Arabidopsis thaliana: one gene and its partners. The protein of the gene in region 1 interacts with the protein of each later gene in a pairwise test. Each region holds a gene or a part of one and is shown on either strand. Other genes may lie near its edges. The genes, in order: NAC066, CRF8, AT2G39000 and bZIP2.

Region 1 (5,376 bases):
GTACAATTAATACCAAGCAGAACTCACATGTAACAGCCCACACATTTTTGATATTTCCAATATTTTTTATTAAGGTTTAACCCAAAAAATAAAAAATAAATAACAGTGAGGATATTTGAGAAATCCTCCATTTTGCATCAGCTAAGGTCAAAGAGAAAAGAGAAAAATTAATGCCTCGAATTCAAGTTTCATGTAATTGTTGCGTTTAGTATTTACAACATGATCAATATCAATACATCATTATAATAAATCGAATCTAATTTCAGAAAGCTAAAGTGGAAAATGAAAGGTCAAAACGTTACAGTTATGGAGTCTGTTACTAATATTATCACATGATAAAAAGAAAGATGAGAATATTTGAATCCTCCATTTTTCTTCAAAAGTAAGATTCCGCACCTTGAAAGAGATTATTCAACAATAAGAACGAATACTGTTTGATTAAATGCTATAATTGAAAAATAATGAGTGTGATTAGCTTTGATGGGTAGGTTAATTAGCTACTATTATTAAGCACTTGGTGCATCTTAATCCAAGTTTGTTGGGGTGATTAATTGGGTAATTAATCTATTCCTAATGATGAATGAAGCAAACTATTCAACATCAAACTAAGCATTTACCAACTAAATATCTCAAGTTTCTAGTAAATAAAACTTCAGTTTAATTGAGAGTAAAATGAGAAACTTTGAATAATTAACGTAATGGAAATCATCTGTTCCTAAAGTTAATTTGTCGACGAATTAATTATCATTTTGGTCTTTTGTCTCTCTTGAAATCATAATCAACTTTTGGTCAAAATCCTTTTTTCATATAATTGTAATTAGAAAACACCCGGCGATGCATGTGACAGACTATGATTTCTTACAGTAGAAAATGTAATTGCCTTTTTGTTCATCGAATGGCAATTAAGTTTCAAAAAGACAAAAACTAATATTCTTGATCCAAAGAAATTCAACTATGCAACCAATTCTTTTCTATAAAGTTAATCATGATATAAAATGTACACAGATATAGAGAACTTTTATTTTCTGTAATGATATCACATAACTACGTACTGTAATTATCACAATCTGACCATTTATACCGTAAAAGTTTCAACAACTATATATATGGTATGATGATTATTATATCTTTCTACACAATGTTTTGGTATGTCACTCACTTAGTCACTTCCTCTCTTCCATTTCCGTTATCCACTACCGTTCAACAAGTGGCATGTCGTTCTCGCGAAATCTGCCTCGTTCCATAAATCAATCTCCGGTATATAGTAATCTGGTGTTAAACCGGTATTACAACCGGACCGGTTCAGTCCATGATACGGTGATTGTGAAGTCTCATTAACGGCTGGTATTGAATACGAGTTGGGCCCATTTAACTGTGAGGCAACGAGCCGATCCAAAGCGGCCCAGCTAGTGATGAAGCTGGGATCCATAACTTTGCTGACGTGGCAGTTGTTGACTTGGTCGTCGATTAACCACTGATAACTCGTGATGGTGGTGTTGTTATGGCATTCGAGGTTAGGGAGTTTTAAGAAAGGGTCTAAAACTATCTCTCCTTTACAAGATTGCCCCATAACTTCGAGAAGTTGCTCGATAGTCTCCTCATTGAACGACGGCGTTTTCACCGAACTCGCCGGGCTACTACTAATCATGTTTTTGCAAAGGTTATTTTTCTTGAAAACACGACACACCACCCATCCTTCGTCACTTCCTATGACATCACACGTTTCTACGTTGACGTCATGATCGCCACACGAGGAGATTAATACACTCTCGTCGAGTCTATATTCGTGCATGATCCAATCGGATTTCTGACCATGAGGGGCTCGACCTTTGTAGAAGACAAGCGTCTTTCGCATCCCGATTCTATCACCATTGGTATATATGGTCTTGTCACGTCCCGTCGCTTTCCAAAATCCGACCGTGGTGGCTCTGTTGGTTCTAGTCCCGGTGGGATACTTCTTGTCCTTATGGCTATAAAAGTACCAATCGTTTTGCGGCGTCGTTCCAATCTTACACATCTCTACATAGAAAAAACAAGAGTTGTGTTAAGTTTTGACTGAATTTTGTTACTGCAAATTTTATTATCACAAAAAGTATATATTACTCTGCAAAATTTCCTGAATTCAGAGCTTTAGTTCTTGACTCAACACATGCATTAAAAAACTAATTTAATTAATATATACAAGCCCTATTAATACGTTTCATCAAGAATAAAAGATAAATGATGAACCTTGAATATCCCAAGGCTCGAGCTTGTTGAGATCAATGTCAGGAATAACATCGAGATCGATCTTGATGTTAGAGATTTTCTTGCGGAGGTAATACTTCAAGAGCTCTTCCTCGGTTGGGTGAAACCTAAAGCCAGGAGGTACTTGTGACTGTCCGTTTACTGATATGTTCATTGCTAAAGATAGAAAAAGGAGAAGAAAATAGAACGAGTTTATAACTAACCAAAGTATGTCTATATATATGTGTATATTTTTTACATCAACTCTGCAAAAAAATAAATAATAGTACATGCATGAGAAAATGCATGTGTTCTTTTGCTCTCATATTTTTAATTCCTTTGTTAAGTTTTCTTTTTAACAGTGGAGTATTATTTTTCCGAATATTTGATGTTTTCATTATAAGTTCGCATGAGCCGCCACTTACAATTAAACATATGAGCCTCTAAGAGCTTGTTTTAATAATTTGAAAATGTCTGTTTTATACTCATAGTGAATGCACTTCTCGAAAAATTACTCCCTATGAGTTTTTACTTAATTCTTAGTTCATACCAAGTATATCCAGCCAAAACAAAAAAAAAAAAGTATATCGATCAAGCTTCTTCGGCCTTTGGTTTTGCCGACTTTTCGCTCTACTAATTGCCTAGATTAGCATGTTAGTTTTGTTTTGTTTTTGCTTTTATCCAGAAATCTCTCGTAATGGTTGATTCGTCATGAGTTCACCTAGTATTTAAAAATCTATCTATTTTTCTGCATGATTCAGTATCTCTTTAACAAAGAAAAAAAATATGATTCAGTAAATTAGATCCGTTATAAATACAATGTTGCAATATTTCATCTAATAAAAGTTATAGTAATGTCTCTCTTTTTTTTTTATTTTTTTTTGGGTCAAATATACTAATGGTCTCTTTATTAAACATCGAAATTATTTGCTCTTTTTGTCCGGTGAAATTGTTTATGGCAATTTCGGAATAGTGCGTGAGAGAGAGCGGTGGGACCATGCACGTAGCTATTGGGTAAAAATATGGTCCACGCGGGATCCACATATCAACTATAATGTAGGAAGCAAGCCCACATCGCTCCGATGACCCTCGACCTTAAAAATCTCTATGGACAAGACATTCCTCATTTTATTTTTATTTTATATAGAAACGAATAGTGTTAACAAAAAAAGTGAATGAAGGGTGATGGCAACAAAAAATGTATGTGATGTGATGAAGAAAGACTTTATACATTATTGTGTTAAATACGACTTTAAAGCTCGTAGCTTGTTCTTGTTGAAGGTGATGCGAAGATAATGATATACTACATGATAATCCACAACCTCCTTAGAAGATGGAGAGAAAGAAAGAGATTAAGATCTGATTCAAGAAGCGTTTATCAAATATATGTGAAGTTAACATTGCAACGAATGTCTAAGATTCGAATATTGTGCATGTGGTTCACTCGAACTAATCATAAAGTTAACCTATCTGGTATTCAGGAAACGACGGTGGATTCGATTCATCCAAATTAAAATTTTAAATTATTGTATTAATTTAAACTTGAATGACGGCATGAATCTAGATGAACAGTTGTTTACAACTGTAAGCGAGGAGGTATCTACGTATGTTGTAGATTTTGTGGGGGCCTATTTACAAAAGGTTATTTTCTGAATTTCCTTTTTCTTACACATGGTTTTGAGATTATAATAGATTAATACGCAAGGGCCGTTCAAATTTGCCATGTGCTATAGGATAACATTGTTAATAAAAAATTAAATCATGAGATTAAAATTTTGAGTTAATGAATATTCTGAAATGTCTTTTTCATTTTTCTAACATGGTTCTGAGTTTATAGCAGAGTAATATATAATCTGATTAAAACGAACGTTGTTGCGGCACGGAGCTATGATAAATTGATGATAATTAGTGACAAAAAACTAAAATGATATAATTGAAGTATTACAAATCGTAATTTTTCTAGAAGATGAAGGAAGTTTGCATGGGAAGCAATCTTAATTTGAGGTGTTTCAAAATTTATTAAACCCTTAATGGTGAGACGTCATATAACTATATATATTAGCACTCGTGCTTGTCGGACTTATAACTTTAGCCTAATCTTAAACTGTTTCTGGCCAGCTTTGTGTCATTGGGCCTGAAATAAAAGAGTTTCTCCCTTTTGTTTTGCTCTTCTAGACTTTTGGCATTGAATAGGGAAGATTAAATAATCTCTAACTACGAGTCTACGACTTCATAAATTAATTGTTTCATGAGAGATAACAATGATATTTCAAATATATCTACGTTGATAAACTTATATAATCGTTCCAAGTCTTCAATGAATACGGAAATCAACATACTAATTTAAATGCTTAAATCGTGAAACAGATTAAAACATAAACGTAGTTTATTCATAATTCGAAATTTTACCACAATTTCCCTTTAAAGCTACTCGTAACGCTTAGCTGGTCTGAATTCGCTCTCGAATGAACTCCTCCGCCGCAGCCGTAACCGCCACACTTCGCCACCGTCCTCACACTTTCCACCAACGCTTCCGTTTCCACATCCTCCGCAAGAATTTCCGCCAACTGCTCCGGACTTATCACAAGCCTCACCTTCCACACTCCACAACCACCGCCACTCAAAGCCGCCATTATCGGCGTCTTCCCGAAAGACATTCTGTACGGCGTTGATAGTTGGTCGGAGGAATCCAGTTGAGCGGTCGCGGCTGCGGAAGAAGAAAGAGGAAGGAGGTAGTAGATGTTACCGGGAAAGAGTTCTTCGCCGTGGAGAAGCGGTGGAGATGAGTGGCGGAGGCTTAAAGAGTCGTGGATGACATGGCCGGGAAATTCGTTGGTGATGAATTCGGCGAAGATGGGAGGATGAAGCTCCATCACGCCACCGTTTGGAGTCACCACTTTTATCAACGAATCATCTTTATCGTATAATTTTCTTGAACCACCATTGCCTTTGAATACGCAGTTACCCATTTTTGCTACATAAGTTAGAAATAATAACTGATTATTTTGTGTATATGTAATGTATGGAATCCAAAGAAAACCCCAAGACGGAGAAGGGTTTAAGACAAACGTTTTCTTTGAGCAGATGAAGTATATATCTTTACGACGTAAAGAAAAAATGAAAATTGCGAATGGTCCACCACTTTTCTTG
Region 2 (4,846 bases), on another chromosome or scaffold:
TTGTTGTTTCAATCTAATACTTTAACCTCTTTCTCCGAATCAACCCTATACTTTATATACTAATATTATATGATATCTTCTGTGGAATTTATAGCGGCGTGTCGTATATTGATTCTACACCTCGAGATACAGATACATGCGTCGTCCTCTCTTATTCAGCCGCCATAAATTCTCTCTCGATCTAAATAATGGCACTTGATTATAGCAAATTAAGAAAAGTCTTTGTTAAAAAAAAAAAACTTTACATGCAAATCACCAAAGTACTATACAATAATGCGTTGAAATATTATAATCTTAACTTGTTTAATTAGTCAAGCGGTCTGTTAAAAATTTAATTAATTACAATGTTGATTCATTGATTCATTTTGAATATAAGTATGTTACTTCCTCATAAAGGTATCAAAACGAATCAAAAACAAAATTTTCTCTGTTTTGTTTTTTTATTCATTTTGATATCAAAAATCTTCCTCTTTAAGGTATCAAAAGATTTGTTCAAAAAAGAAAAATCTTCTTGTTTATCATGTGAAGTTTGTGAACCAATCAAAATTTATCTTCAGATCCTTTTTTTTTTCAATTTCATAATCGTAAGTCAAAAGAAAATATCTGTTTGCTTTTTTTCTAACGCACTTGTGTTTCCTCAAACTTATTATTTTTAAACTCATGTGCACGTACATGTAAACATTCATTTCCTCTCTTTTTCTTTTTTTTCTTGTCAAAACATTCATTTCCTCTTTAGTCACTACTATTATCGAAAACATTCATTTCCTCTTTAGTCATTACTATTATAGTATTATAGAAGATCATATATATCATGTGTATGATGAAGTCTCTTGGTTTAGCTGATCTCTTCATGTTCTTTATTACTTTCTTTATCTCCAAACCCCTCACCCATGGCCATCAGTCTTCAACAAGTCAAAGTAAATTGATAAATTCAGTATTTTTCATTAGACACCCCAAAGTATAAAAATGTATCGTTGATACGGTGATACAAGAACCAAAAGATGGAAAGATATATAAAGAATTTTCAACTTTTCATCAACCATCAAAATATAACTCTGATCCAAGTCATTAACGTTCAATTTGGTTAGAGTTCTGTTCTATTATGTGTTGATCCATAAATGGTAAAAAGATTGAATAGTATACAAATAAAAAGAGCCTATTTCAACCCAAACTTTTCTTTCCTAAACGTTTTAAAAATTCAAAAAAATTTGTACCTTAAAATTTGTGTGTAAATCAAAATATAGTTCATTTCTCGAGTTTCATATATATACATAGACGAAAGACATCAAGATCATACACAACATCAGAAGATGAATTTACAAAATACGAGAGAGACCTTCTTGCTAATGCTAACAACTAAATTACCAACCCCACTTCACGCGCCTCTAGCAACCTCAGAAGCTCCAATCACCGTCTTATCCTCTTGATTCTCCGCCGGCAAACCAAAATTGGTCGGCGCGTGAGGTCCAATCAGCTTAATTGAAGCGTTATCATAAGCTAGAGCAGCTTCCTCAGCAGTGTTAAAAGTACCCAGCCAGAGACGATCACGTCGTCCTTTACAAGCTCCTCTTCCACATCTGATCTCCGCCACCCACTTCCCCCACGGCCTCTGCCTCACTCCACGATATTTCTTCTCCGTTTTCGCCGTCTTGAGAAATTCCGCCGGGATCCTGATTTTGAACCGTGTTTTGCAGACATCGAGTTTATCGGCGGAATCGGAAGGATCGATTACGATCTCTTTAACGAGGCGTTTCCCACGGCGCCGAGTCTGGGATGCTCCTCCACGCTCCTCCGTGTCTTCGTCGCTAGAAGAATCGGTGGCTTCTGCGTCGGTGAATGAGATTCTGATAATACGCTTCATAGTGAATTTGCGGAAATTAGGGTTCCGTCTTCGTCTCCATTAAAAGGAAAGCATTTGAGAGAAAGAATATGTTTTTATTCTTTCAGAATCTCTTTTTCTGATGCTTTTCATCTTTACTTATTTACTTCTCTATTTTTTTCTAACCAATCCTATGTGGGCCGTATGGGCCTCAGAGCTGAAAATGCAGTAAAATCCATGAAATTTCTCAACATGGCTTGAAGCCCATCTTCTAAAGGAAAAAACGCTTTACTCTTTTTTCCTTCATCTATGTAATAAGAAGCAGAAATTTAGGAATAAGTTTGAAACTTTAATCACACATAAGAGTAAGTGCAAAAACATGAACAATGTTCTTGCCTTCCGTGTCAATTTTGTATATATATATATATATATATATATATATATATATGTGTGTCAGTATATAATCTCCTTTTATATGATTATAAACTCATTTGTCCCATGTCTTCTTCTTCTTCAATGGACTTACTCATGTGTCTGCTTCTTCTAATCTCTCCGGTTGTTCTGGCCAAGTCTTCTTCCACCGTCCCTGCTATCTTTACCTTCGGTGACTCTATTTTTGACGCCGGAAACAACCATTACAACAAAAACTGTACCGCTCAGGCTGATTTTCCTCCTTATGGTTCTTCCTTTTTCCACCGTCCTACTGGGAGGTTCACCAACGGAAGAACCGTCGCTGACTTCATCTGTAACAAATTACCTCCCAACTCGTTAACTAAAACATTTCTTCTTCTGCAAGGAACCTTACTTTTGTCTCTTTTTTCTTTTCTTGACGCAATAATTGCAGCGGAATTTGTAGGCCTTCCATTACAGAAACCATTCTTGGAATTGCAGATTCAAATCTTGAATGGAACTTCAAACTTTTCAAATGGCATTAACTTTGCTAGTGCTGGTAGTGGTCTCTTGCTTGATACCAACAAATTTATGGTAAATATCTACCTTGACCAAATAAAATGTTTGTTTCTTGTGAATCACTCATTAAGTACACATATCAAATGTAGGGCGTGACACCGATCCAAACCCAGCTACAGCAATTCCAGACACTTGTAGAGCAAAACCTTATCGAAAAATCTATAATCCAAGAGTCTCTCTTCTTATTAGAAACTGGTTCTAACGACATCTTCAACTACTTCCTCCCATTCCGAGCTCCTACACTTTCTCCAGACGCTTATGTGAACGCAATGTTAGACCAAGTGAACAAAACGATTGATCAGATCTACAAACTAGGCGCACGCCGCATCGCTTTCTTCTCCTTAGGTCCTGTAGGTTGTGTCCCTGCAAGAGCCATGCTTCCTAATGCCCCAACCAATAAATGCTTTGGTAAGATGAATGTTATGGCCAAGATGTATAATAAAAGACTTGAAGATATAGTGAACATAATCCCCACTAAGTACCCTGGAGCCATTGCGGTGTTTGGAGCTGTATATGGTATCACTCACAGATTTCAAACCTACCCTGCCCGTTACGGTAAACTCAATATAGTTAATTAACTTCCATCTTTGAGATCTTTTTCAAATGTGTCTATGAGAAAGCTGAATCATGTTTTTGGTGAAGGGTTTTCGGATGTTTCAAACGCGTGTTGTGGGAACGGTACACTGGGAGGATTGATGCAGTGTGGAAGAGAAGGATACAAGATTTGCAATAACCCAAATGAGTTTCTGTTTTGGGATTTTTATCATCCCACAGAACACACTTACCGTCTCATGTCAAAAGCTTTATGGAATGGAAACAAAAACCATATCAGACCATTTAATCTCATGGCTCTTGCCACCAACAAGATCACATTTTAATACTTATATCTCCCTTGTATATAGAATTCATAATGAGTTTGTATCTGAATTAAGACTCGAAATCATTGTGAAAACAAAAGCCAGAAAGTGAAACTTCGCTCCACTTCTGGTCTCTTCTTCCTCTTCTACTGTAACATGAACGCTACAAAATGTTTTTATTGTTCTCTTTCATATCATTATGAAATACAATATCTGATTCTATCTAACTATACCTCTATACTATACGCATTCTACAGAAAGCTTAGGTTCGTCATCTGAGTGATGAGTATCCAAGCCGTTACCAAAGCTATCATCTTTTCTTTGAGGGTGTGGATCCGCAAACACTTCCTCCCTTTGGGGGCGGTTCGCATAGAATATCCATAGCACCAGACATAGTAAGACTCCTACGGAGATCAGTCCGAGTCCTGCGTTCACAATCCTCAGATTACGTACTAACGGTGGACAGTAATCTGAGGTAATACTCATAAATGTTTCCCTAACAAAGTTGCAATCTCGGAAGCTAAGCAATGGAGGCGTGTAATGCTCTAGAGCGTAGCTCTCATTCACAGCTGCTACCAACTGTCCAAAGGTATCTGGCGTTACTCTCCCCACGGTGGTGCAGATTCCAGATGGTGTAACCTCGCATTTGTAATTCTCCCAGACCTGAAAAGAGAAGTTTAGTAAGACATGTCTCAGACCTGGTGGTGTTTTGTTCAAGATATACAAAGATAGGTGAGTAGGAAAGTACCGATGATGCATTTTCTATTGATAGTTCCCAAGGCGAGCACTGGCGATCTTCCATGTTTGCATCAAATGGGATGCATAAAGGAGGCATCGGAGGTCCAGACTGGTTGTAATAGCGGTCTTGACCTGGAGCTGGGTTTGTATTGGCAACAGCATAGACAAAGGTGTTTACAACGGTCACGATGCTGTTGATAACAACTTTACTCTGTGAAAGAGTCTGGTTTGTTGTTTGCTGATCAACGCATGGGAGAATGCTGCTGAGAGCTGTTTCTGCGTGAGGATTATCAACCCATTCCTTCATTGCTACACACGTATCAGAAATTGCACTGGACACCAAAACAATGACATTTAGTTGACTACATTTGCGAGTCTACTTAATAAGGCAAGAGAAAACAAACATTCAGAACAGCAAAATCTTACTTGTTTAGGATCAGAAAGACTCCACAAAGAACAAATG
Region 3 (5,738 bases), on another chromosome or scaffold:
AAAGTAATGAAAAAGACTACTTAAAATGAAAGAGTCGTCGCTCATACATTTAACGCAGAAAATATAAGAGTAATTTAAAATGCAAATTGGACCGACCTTTAGTCGAAAAGTTTAACGCAGAAAAATAAAAGTAATTTAAATGCTATTACAAATTGAAACAAAGAATCAGATTATTTGACGAGCAACAGTATATACAAATGACATGACAGTGAAATGGGGCGAATGTATCTGAAAGCTCTCCTAATCAAGGAGTCAACAATCACCTATTTAAGAATGTACGTTGTCTAATACTTGAAATTTTACGTTTTTGTTTTTCTTTTCAAATTTAAAACTCTTGCCGTATTTAAAGATACTGGTCATTAAGGTGGCCATGGAACTAAACACAGCCTGAAAGAAAATTTTCAAAGATTTTCCCAACCCCAATAGGAGAGCTTGCGATGGGATTGAATTTACCACGATTATTATATTTTCTGAAAAAAACCTTTTATTCCCAACATTTGAAATGTTTCATATGTGGAGCAAGAATTACGATATGAAGAATGGAGAATGAGAAACCATATAATTTAATAAATATTAACATGAATATCATCCACTTTTATTAACACAGGATCAAATGACTGTTTTTTTGGGAAGACGATCGACCTCCATGAACCATGAACATTAAATCTTGTCCACGTGGTGTCCGTGGTAGACCCATCTAATTTACGTAGCTAGGCCCGTCCATGGCAGAGTAGGATTGGACACCAAGATAAATACAAGAATATATTTGAAGCGAAGCATTTGGCGGATTATAGAGTTCTACAAGACTACAACAGATGATGCATCACTTAATAATACCAAAAAAAAAAACAAATGTCCCACTTAATAATCGAGCGACGACCATTATTTTTTTCTGTAAATAAAATGAAAATGAATTGCTTCATGAATTATATTACTCATTTTTCCTAGAGATGGGACCGTTCATAAAAAGTATTACGGATATACTGATAGCAAAACATTTTTTTTTTTTCTACGCAATTTTGTAATTTACAACTTATCTAAACACATTCGGATTCATTGTAATATTAATTCTATGTATACAATTCATCTTCATCCATATTTTTATAACATCTTCTTGTTTTGAATTTTTATTTTTTACATGAGTCACATGACTATAAGTCAATAATATCATTTTGCTGCTAATACGTGCTGTAATTAAAAAAGAAGAAGCAAAAAGACTCAAATTGTTACTATAAACAAGAATGTTTAAAACACGTGAAAAAATTGGTATAGGGCTGCTTAAAAGTAAAAAACAATTGCGTGAAATACAAAGGCTTCATTTAAGGTTCTCCATTCTTTGTTCCGACAACTTTATTGTTCATAACAAATAGCTTACCCAAAACGGCTTAAACAAACATTCGATAAAGTATTAATTAATGTAAGGAAAAAAAAAGTAACAGAACAATAACTATTAAAAAGTGACCCATGTAAGATATCGAAAATGATTCTGCATTTTTTTTTAAAAAGATGAAGAAGTGAATCTTCTGTCGCGGAAACTTCTAAGCAGGAGACATGGCATCTGGACACCACACGGTTAGTACACTTCTATGATGTCGGCGAGAGACGTGGCGACATTTGTGGATCGTGATGAGCTTGTGGTTGGGTCGGAATGTACATTGTCTTTTTGGATAATGGTTTTGTGGCTCACCAAATATCATTGGATTAGATCAGAACTTCGAAATCTAACTTGTCCACGTCAACTTTTCACTGAAATTTCTTTCCTGTAGTTTGTTTCTTTCTCATTATTTAGATGGAAGTTTTGACAATTCAAGCGACATCAATATAAAGTATTTTTGTTTGGGATTTAAGGATGGTCTCCTACTATTTCAAATTTGTGATGAGTTTAGTGTCGACTAAAGGGAAAAAGTTATATTCGTTTTTGAATTTGGATGTTTTGAATTCGTAAAAAAAATATAAACGCGCTTAGCTTATTTGTTTTATTTTCTACATGTAAATTTAAATTTATAAGAAAATTGCATAATATGGTGGAATAAGTACTGATTTTAAGGAAATTTATAAGAAAATAAATTGTAATTTATGATGAAAATAGTTAAATAGCTAAAAAAATTAGCGGATTAAATCCAAATACAAATCATGCAAATCAGATTTCTACGTCACATTGGTGTGTTTATGAAAATCCAAATACAAAACATAGATAAGTAAACTTACAATAAACTGATAACAGTAGTCTTCGTAAAGTTCAAATACGAAGCATTTTTTTTTTGTGGAATGATGAATGGTAATGGTATAATATGATGAAGATGATGATGATGAATGCGGTGGGTGAAGATGATGATGGATGATGTTGATGATGGTGGTGGTCATATGGTGATGATGGTGACATATGCTGATGTTATATAATGTTGATAATGATGATGATGCTTGTATGAAGATGGGGATTGGGGATGATGTTTATGGTATGATAATGATGTTGTTTATGAAGACGGATGATGCGGTGTGGATAGTGTTCATCTCTTTTCTTGTTTTGGTTGCCAAACCATTTCACTACAGATTTTTTTTTTGGCATAACAGTAGCTACAAACTTTTGAAAAAAGAAAGAGCAAATTTGATTCTAGACGTTTTGGCAATGTGGATTGGTGGGGTAAAAAAAACGTGTGAATTGGTGGGAAAAAAAAAGAGTTTATTTCCCTAACGCGAATTATTAAATAAAAAGATTACTATTAGTGAATAGTGACTTAGGATAATCCTGCTGGTTCTTTATTAAAATCGTGATTGGTGCGATTTGACCGGTCGAACCGGCCGGTTTGTTGTTAAAATCGTTTGTGTTGGGTAAGAAATAAAGATAGCTAGAGAAGCAGAAAAGGCACGGCGAACGGAGAAAGATGCGGAGCACACCGTTGGGGACGACGGCGGTTTCACCAGCTTCAATCAAACACAACTCTTATGGGTATGGCCGCTTCGTTTCCTCTTCAGGAGTCTCTAATTTCTCTATCCATCGTCGGAGACGCCACTCGTCGTTTTCTATCTCTCAAGCTCCTTCACAAATCAACTCAGGTTTGATGATGAGCTATGATTTAGATCGAGTTCCAATTCTTAAGCCATCCCCAGATGAATTCAGTTAGATGCTCTCTAGTGTAATTGACCATGCCTGATTGAAAGATTCAATTTTAACTCATTTTTCAACGAAACAATTGATTGCGCATGTTTGCTTCATGAAGCTTTAAATTTTCAGGCTTTTGCATGATTTCAGCAAATCAGTTGTTTTATTAAACCTGAGGACCTCTTGTCACTGAGTCTTTTAGGAATAGTTTAGAGTTTTCACCGGGTTTGAGATTCTGGTTACAGAAGAAAAGTGTGAACATAGTTGTTGCTTCTATCAATGGGTGATAAATTTGTTCTTTGATGAATATATTTGTTATCTTTGTATGTAGGAGCTTGCAATGCAAGTCAAATAGTTGATCTTTTTCCAGCGGTTTCACCTGAAATCGTTGTTCGTGAAGCACGGTTAGAGGACTGTTGGGAGGTGGCAGAGACTCATTGCAGCTCTTTCTTCCCGGGATATTCGTTCCCGCTTGATGTTGTTCTAAGAGTAGATAGGTTAATGGCAATGGTGATGGGATTTTCTATTCCACCTGGGTGCCAGAGGACTTGTTTAGTGGCTGTGATAGGTAGTTCAGTAGATGAAACCATCTGCTTTGGAAGTGATGATTTCAAAATTGGAGCTTTTGATGCAAAGATCAGCTTAAACAAAGGTTATGTTGCTGGAATCTTGACTGTTGATACTGTGGCTGATTACCTTCCAAGAAAAGGACCTCTCCGCCAGAGAAGGTTCGCTTTTCGCCTTAGCTTTTATTTCTGTCGTCAAGCACTGTGCCTCTGTTCTTAAGACTAAGGACCTAGTCTCAAAAATGTGCAACTAGGATAACATAAAGTTTCGCAATCTTTAGCTAATCTTGGTGAAAGAAGGATCTTGTCATTTTTTGTTGGGAATGTGTTGTGCTCGGATCTGGATTCGTTTATTGTCTTATAATGATTTGATGGTGTGTTCCTAATTTAAAGCCAGGACCGGGATCGCTTATGTATCAAATGTGGCAGTTCGAGAGAATTTCCGGCGCAAAGGAATAGCCAAGAGACTCATATGGAAAGCAGAGGCTTTAGCCAAGAACTGGGGATGTAGAGCTATCGGCCTTCACTGTGATCTCAACAACTTAGGAGCAACTAAACTTTACAAAGATCAAGGTTTCAGATCCATCAAGATCCCTGAAGGAGCGACTTGGCCTCAACCGAAGACATCTCCTGACACCAGGTTTACCTTCATGATGAAGCTAGTGAACAACAACAATACACAAGCTCTTGAACAGTTTCGGTAAATCCGAGGAAAAAGGAAATTTGAATTCCGTTTGTTGTTGAAATATAGCTCTGATTATGTAATTGTAAATATGGTTGCAGTCTTGTGTAAATGCTATTGTCTATAATATTTCGACCAAATACGCTTTTTCAGTTTTTAAGGTCTTGTAGCACCGTGAACTTTTTGCTTCTCCCGCAAGCATGTTTCAAGACATTCCAAGTCTTAGCCATACTTGATTTATATACCAATGTAATAAAAAAAAACATCTAAAATCGCATTCGTCGCACTATGCTAATTAAGATCCATAGTTTAAACCTACATAGCGTATTCGAAACTCAAGATTAATATCACTGGAACAAGAAGAAATCGGCATGGAAGTCATAAAGATATCACACATTGGACATATTATTGTGTGAAGAAATTCTGACGCCACTAACATGTAATTTTATCTGTCGAACATACTTAGCTTCATTTTCTATATCTCAAACTTGTATTTTACGAACTCCTTTCTGCAAGGCAGCAAGTTTGATGATATTGAGCGATTCTACCAAATCATCACATAGTACATGAGGGTCTGGAATCACTGTTTTGTCGACTGCTAGATTGATGATAATCTTGTTTATGTAGCTCACGAAATAGATAATAAGAGCCTTGTTCAACAACAAACATAAACAAACTGTTAGTTAATTTCATCAAAGTTTTCTATGATTTCTAAAAAAGTTAAACTGATATACAAGTAGGGCATGAGGCGCATGATTAGTATACTTACTTGTGATCCACCCAATGAACTTGCTATTGCTGCTATGTAAGATATTTGATGAACAAAAAAATCTTGTTTCTTCGTCTGGACCCATCAAACTTGTTTCCTTTTTCATAGCTATCCTGATTATTCTCCAACTTTGCATTTAGCCACACTTTCCTCTTATACTACTGTTCTTTCTTTTTTTCCTATGATCAATTTGATTAAATGCTTTGGCAGTACACTTTGTTATTTTTGTGACTTAGCTTATGTCTTATTTTTTGTTCTATTTTACTATCTAATATCGCATTGATTGCATTACTAGTTTGGAGATTTAACGAGTATGCTAGGCTTTTGGCATTTGGATTTAGAGTTGTTTTATTTTGTAATTTATTAATTTGGATTTTGGGTTGTTTCTTTACTGTATACAAAAAAAAAAAAACGAAAAAAATATATAGCGGTCAACAATTCATTTATATGGAGCCTACAAAAAAATTTATATGGTGTGAAATTTAAAACAAAAATTGATTGCATATAGTAAAGAAACGTGCAGACTCTCGTCCTTTGGTTTTAAATCAAGCTCAACCACGATACCTGACTCTTCATTTACTCGGTCTATAATTGGGATTAGGTCACTGCTGGTTTTGGTTC
Region 4 (4,792 bases), on another chromosome or scaffold:
ACCAACCTTTTTATATATAATAAGATTCAAAAAGATAAAGGATAAACATAAACCATATTCACTCACAATAATACAAGTGTACCGTAAATATGGAAATGTTTGAAGTCACGGATTAAATTCGTGTTGGAAAAAGTTTGCTTTCTTAAAAAAAAGAATAGATTACGTTCATATGCCCTGACCCTGAAACATCTAATATTAAAAAAAAAAATATAGATTATATAATATACACAATATATATCTATAATACAATATATTCATAGAGATTCTTAGAAAAGATAAATGCAAAAGCAATAAAACTAAATTGACGTTATATGTTTTCTTGGCCACATATGTAATAAATACAAATAAATCTTCAAGATACCATCATTAATATGAACGTTTTGCGTTCGTACAATAAACTTTATCACTGGTGTTATTACATTTGAAAAAAAGGAAAAATCATTGAATTTTAAATTTATGTCCTTTTGTATGAATGATACTTTTAAGCAAAAATGTTTGACTGACGAAGGTTTTAATACATTTCTAAATAATTATCATACACCTAAGATTTGCTCATCTGTGTTTTAACTAAAAAAACCATAATCTTATATTAAAATGATGGGTTCTTGCAACAAAACCCTCTAAACATATAAGCATCATATATATGTTTGAAGATCTTTTATTTTTCACATACATTATGATAAATTTCTCCTAGTCGCAAGGAACTCTATTTGTTATATAATTGATCATTATTTAGCACTTACGTTGCTGACAACGAATTATATTACAGGTGAAATTTGACTTGGTAGATTTGACATGTTATCTAGAAGTTCCTTTTTATTGTTATTTGCAGAAAAACCAAAACTTAATTGTAAATGCAGCTTATATATATATATATATATAATCATCAATCCAAAATGTGATTTTTTTCATTCTTAAAAATTACCAATCCAAAAAGTTGCTTTTCTCGAAGCATAAACAAACCATTATCCGAATAAACAATTGGAATATTAAGGTGAAAGACAAAATCATGATAACATAAACATATATAATCATATAATTATAACAAAACACACACCAATACATGACAAAGTACAACTCATATATATATGCCCCAATATATATATAAAGTTTATATTTATCCTTCCAACCAATCAAAGATGCATGTACTATAATTACATCATCACACCAACCCAAAAACACCAAAATGGGCTAAATTTTAAAATAAAAAGACAAAAAAGGGGCATCTAATTATTTTAATTAATTTTATTAATCAATACATATTGATATCATTAGCCATAATGGGTTGGTTAGTGTAAACCGAACCACCCCAATGATTAACATTACTCATCATATTCATATCATCGTAATATCCGTCGATCCCAACCGTACGATCATCAAAACCACAGCCGTCGATCTGGTCAACACCAAATCCTGCACCGTTGGATTGAACAAGATCAACGATCTCGTTGAGAGATTGGAGTCTGGTGCTAAGCTCCTCCATCTGAGCGGTGAGAACAGAGTTCTCGGCTTGGATCTTCATGTAAAGCTGAGATGTTACGGTGAGGCTGTTCAAGATCTGACGGTTGTCGTTTGATAGCTGATTGATCTGAGCCGTTAGATCATCAACGTGTTTCTGTTTACGCATCCTTGACCTACGTGCAGATTCTCTGTTCGATAACATTCTTTTACGTTTTCGTTCGTCGACGGTGACGACGGAGTCCGACGGGTTATTATTACCACCGTCGGAAGAGCTTGAGCTCCGGTATGTGCTGCTAGATGACGCCATTGATTTTTAACAAGAAAAGTTACAAGAAGACAAAAAAAGGACAGAGTTTTATGTTTTATGTTTGGTTTTTTTTTATGATCTGTCTGAAAAAATTAATTAGAGTTTGTAGCAATTCATGAAACGTTGTAAAACCAGTAGAGGAAGACGACGGAGAAAGATTGAACGAGATGGGTTCTACGGCAGAGAGCAGATTTGACCGTGAGCCCAGAGAGCAGGATTTCGCAGAGAACGGGAGTCATCAGTTTCCGATCATCAAAAGACTCAAATTTTTATGTTTTCTCGGTCTGAATTTATGATGTCAGAACTTGAAAACAAACAGAGGAAGAGTTTTTTTTTTTTTTTGGTTATTGGAGAAGAAACAGAGGAGCTCTAAATATAAAAAAGAAAACAGCAGAAGATTTTTAAGGAGATAAGGAAGAGAAGATGAGTGAATGGGAAAGAGGTTTTTGATGAAGGGTGTGTTATGGATTATATAGAAACCAAATCTCAAGCATCCACTTGTGTCTTTTTAATTTATTTTGATTTTTTGGGAAATAATGGATGGTGGGGAAAGCTGGAATCGTTTACGCGCCCATTGTTTTATCATTTTTATTTTTTACTAACAAAATGATTCATTATAATTTTATTAAAAAAAATATGTAGGTCAGTAGGTGGATGTTGCTTTTTTATTTTTTTGGTAATGACACTTTACTTTTTGATTGTTTTTTTGGTATTCAAAAGAAAAATATTAATGGTAAGTATAGATTTGTGTGGTTTAATGGTGTGATTAATGATATGTAGTAGGATAGACAAATAGGTAGGTGGTAAAAGTTGACCAGATATCAAGATTAAAAAGAGTGAAAACTATTGAAAATAGTCAATGTCTTGAAAATTGCATGTAGTCAATGTAGGAATTACAGAAAATCTTTGATAATTTTTGTTGCCATTAATTCAGTCAATGGCTTTGAATATTTTGATACATACAATTGGTGAATTAAAAGTGATATCAAATAGGAAGGTGATAAATTTAATAATTTTCCAACGAAATAAAATTTTGTAAAACATTATTTCAGCCAACATTTTAAGAAAATATAGAATATTTAAAAATAAAATTTAAAGTATGTGGATTAAGTAAATTCATGAGGATTTGTGGGATTGATATGTGCTCTGATATTTCAATCTAATACAGTAATTTCGAGCCATGTGATTGATATCAAAATTTTGAATTTAGTAAATGATTTCGAACTAAAAATGTTAGTATCTAATTTGTGTGTACTAGATCATTGTTGTTCGTCTTAATTATTGAAAAGTCTCATAAAGTGTTTGTACGAGTTGTTGAATTTGTTTAACACAAAATAAAAGCTGATCTTACTGAAGGTAAGAACTAAAATGAAACGAAAACTGTCACAAATTGTTAGAAAAAGTTATAATATAGTTATAAGAGATAAATCTGAAGTATGTTTCTAATTATTTATAAATTGTTACAAATCCAATGAATGTCTAATACATGTAACACGTATCATTAATTCATATTCTACAGATAATGTTTACTCCATTTTCAAAATAACTACACTACATCATTTGTAATAATTTCAATTGATTTACTAAATTTTCATATCTATAAAAATGGATTATTCTTTTCTTATTGGTAAAGACACACAAAAAATATAAGAAAATAAAGCACTATCATCATCAACATCATTTCTTTATTTGTATATCTTTTTGTTTACAATTTTAAATTTAATTCTATAACATTTTACAACACTTATCATTACGCGTTTTAATTGTTTGAGCTTTTGAAATTCAACTTCAGAAAAATTTCCTGTGACGAGTCTAACGGTCGGATAATCTTTATATTGATCACAATTGTTTGATGAATAACTATAAACATACATTAAAACAATACTACAGGCAAATTAATTAATAAAACCTTATATTAAAAATAAATTACATATAAATAATAAAAATTAAGTGATAAACCACAATTCAACCAACTCCTTTTCTAAATGAAACAATATGTAAAAATGTAGAGAATTGAAAAGTAATCAAGAACATGAACAACAACAACCTTCAATATTACACCGAATTTTTGTGGACAATATTTTGGTTGTTTTAAAGATTCGAGATCAAATTTACCTAAGTTTTATGAACAAAATGTTATATATGAAATTATAGAATATGTTTTTAAAATGCTCTAGAAACACTTAACAATGTAAGTTGATCGTTTTATCATACGTTATATATATATTTTAAATTATATCATTGATCATATTTTAAATCTAAATTTTGATACAGCGATGATATTAACCAAGGAAATTATAATTTAATAGTACGACTTCAAGTATTTCATAGTTTTTATTTTCTTTTACACGAGTAATTATTTTTATGTCGGCACACCACGCTGAGTAGTAATTTTTTTTTTTTTCGTCCCACGCTGAATAGTAACTTATAGCGGGTAAAAAGGCTAGACAAATTTAATAATTTCCCTTCACCTGAGACAAAATTTATTTACCGTTGGTAGTTAATTTAGTTACCGTTAGTAGACAACTTTCATAATTTCACCGCCTACAAAATTTAGACAACAACAGTGCACGACACCGTCTTTGACGCAGAATCTCTTTTGTAGATCTGCACCGTACGAAACCACGTGCATTGCACAATCCATGTTCTCAATGAGCGGCTCTTAATACACGTCAAAGTTCCAGTTTTAATTTAAACCTAATTAATTATGAGATTGGCGAAAGAAAAATAATTAAGTATTAAACATATATAAATAAAGGTGATTAACACTTAACCTCTAAGCAGATGCAGGGGACAATAAGCACATGGGTCCATATAGCTCATCTCTTCTGGAACTTCATAGCCATTTTTTAATTGTATAAAATATTGATAATCTATCAAAATCAGTCCCTAATCGATGATGAAATGACGACTAATTTCTAATTGGCCATTAGTGTTAGGTAAAATCACTCAAACATAAGTTTATTTAGAAAGATATGTAAAATACATTATAAAAAAAAGATATACAAATTAGTAAATTTATTA

What was found.
Region 2: the proteins of NAC066 (region 1) and CRF8 interact in a two-hybrid assay, tested with the Arabidopsis thaliana proteins (one large-scale study listed by BioGRID).
Region 3: the proteins of NAC066 (region 1) and AT2G39000 interact in a two-hybrid assay, tested with the Arabidopsis thaliana proteins (one large-scale study listed by BioGRID).
Region 4: the proteins of NAC066 (region 1) and bZIP2 interact in a two-hybrid assay, tested with the Arabidopsis thaliana proteins (one large-scale study listed by BioGRID).

What each region holds. Positions count from the first base shown.
Region 1 is NC_003074.8:22,928,007-22,933,382, forward strand, and holds NAC066 (NAC domain protein 66), read right to left. Parts: upstream 2,451-5,376; 5' UTR 2,402-2,450; coding exon 2,230-2,401; intron 2,020-2,229; coding exon 1,187-2,019; 3' UTR 1,000-1,186; downstream 1-999. Other genes in the region: AT3G61920 (UvrABC system protein C), read right to left, coding at 4,632-5,195. UniProt on the Arabidopsis thaliana protein: Transcription activator of genes involved in biosynthesis of secondary walls. Together with NST1, required for the secondary cell wall thickening of the anther endocethium, which is necessary for anther dehiscence.
Region 2 is NC_003070.9:26,819,892-26,824,737, reverse strand, and holds CRF8 (Integrase-type DNA-binding superfamily protein), read right to left. Parts: upstream 2,222-4,846; 5' UTR 1,862-2,221; coding exon 1,376-1,861; 3' UTR 1,067-1,375; downstream 1-1,066. Other genes in the region: GLIP6 (GDSL-motif lipase/hydrolase 6), read left to right, coding at 2,318-2,564, 2,664-2,803, 2,878-3,343, 3,431-3,666; AT1G71110 (uncharacterized protein), read right to left, coding at 3,886-4,308, 4,394-4,715, 4,810-4,846.
Region 3 is NC_003071.7:16,285,086-16,290,823, reverse strand, and holds AT2G39000 (Acyl-CoA N-acyltransferases (NAT) superfamily protein), read left to right. Parts: upstream 1-2,561; 5' UTR 2,562-2,882; coding exon 2,883-3,054; intron 3,055-3,431; coding exon 3,432-3,828; coding exon of another isoform or gene 3,829-3,886; exon of another isoform or gene 3,887-4,059; coding exon of another isoform or gene 4,060-4,063; coding exon 4,064-4,370; 3' UTR 4,371-4,599; downstream 4,600-5,738. UniProt on the Arabidopsis thaliana protein: Protein acetyltransferase with dual specificity triggering both N-alpha-acetylation (NTA), with a large spectrum of modified N-termini, including methionine, alanine, serine, threonine and to a lower extent glycine and valine as substrates, and epsilon-lysine acetylation (KA) of several plastid proteins.
Region 4 is NC_003071.7:7,897,036-7,901,827, forward strand, and holds bZIP2 (basic leucine-zipper 2), read right to left. Parts: upstream 2,208-4,792; 5' UTR 1,769-2,207; coding exon 1,253-1,768; 3' UTR 977-1,252; downstream 1-976. UniProt on the Arabidopsis thaliana protein: Transcription factor that binds to specific DNA sequences in target gene promoters. BZIP2-BZIP63-KIN10 complex binds to the ETFQO promoter to up-regulate its transcription.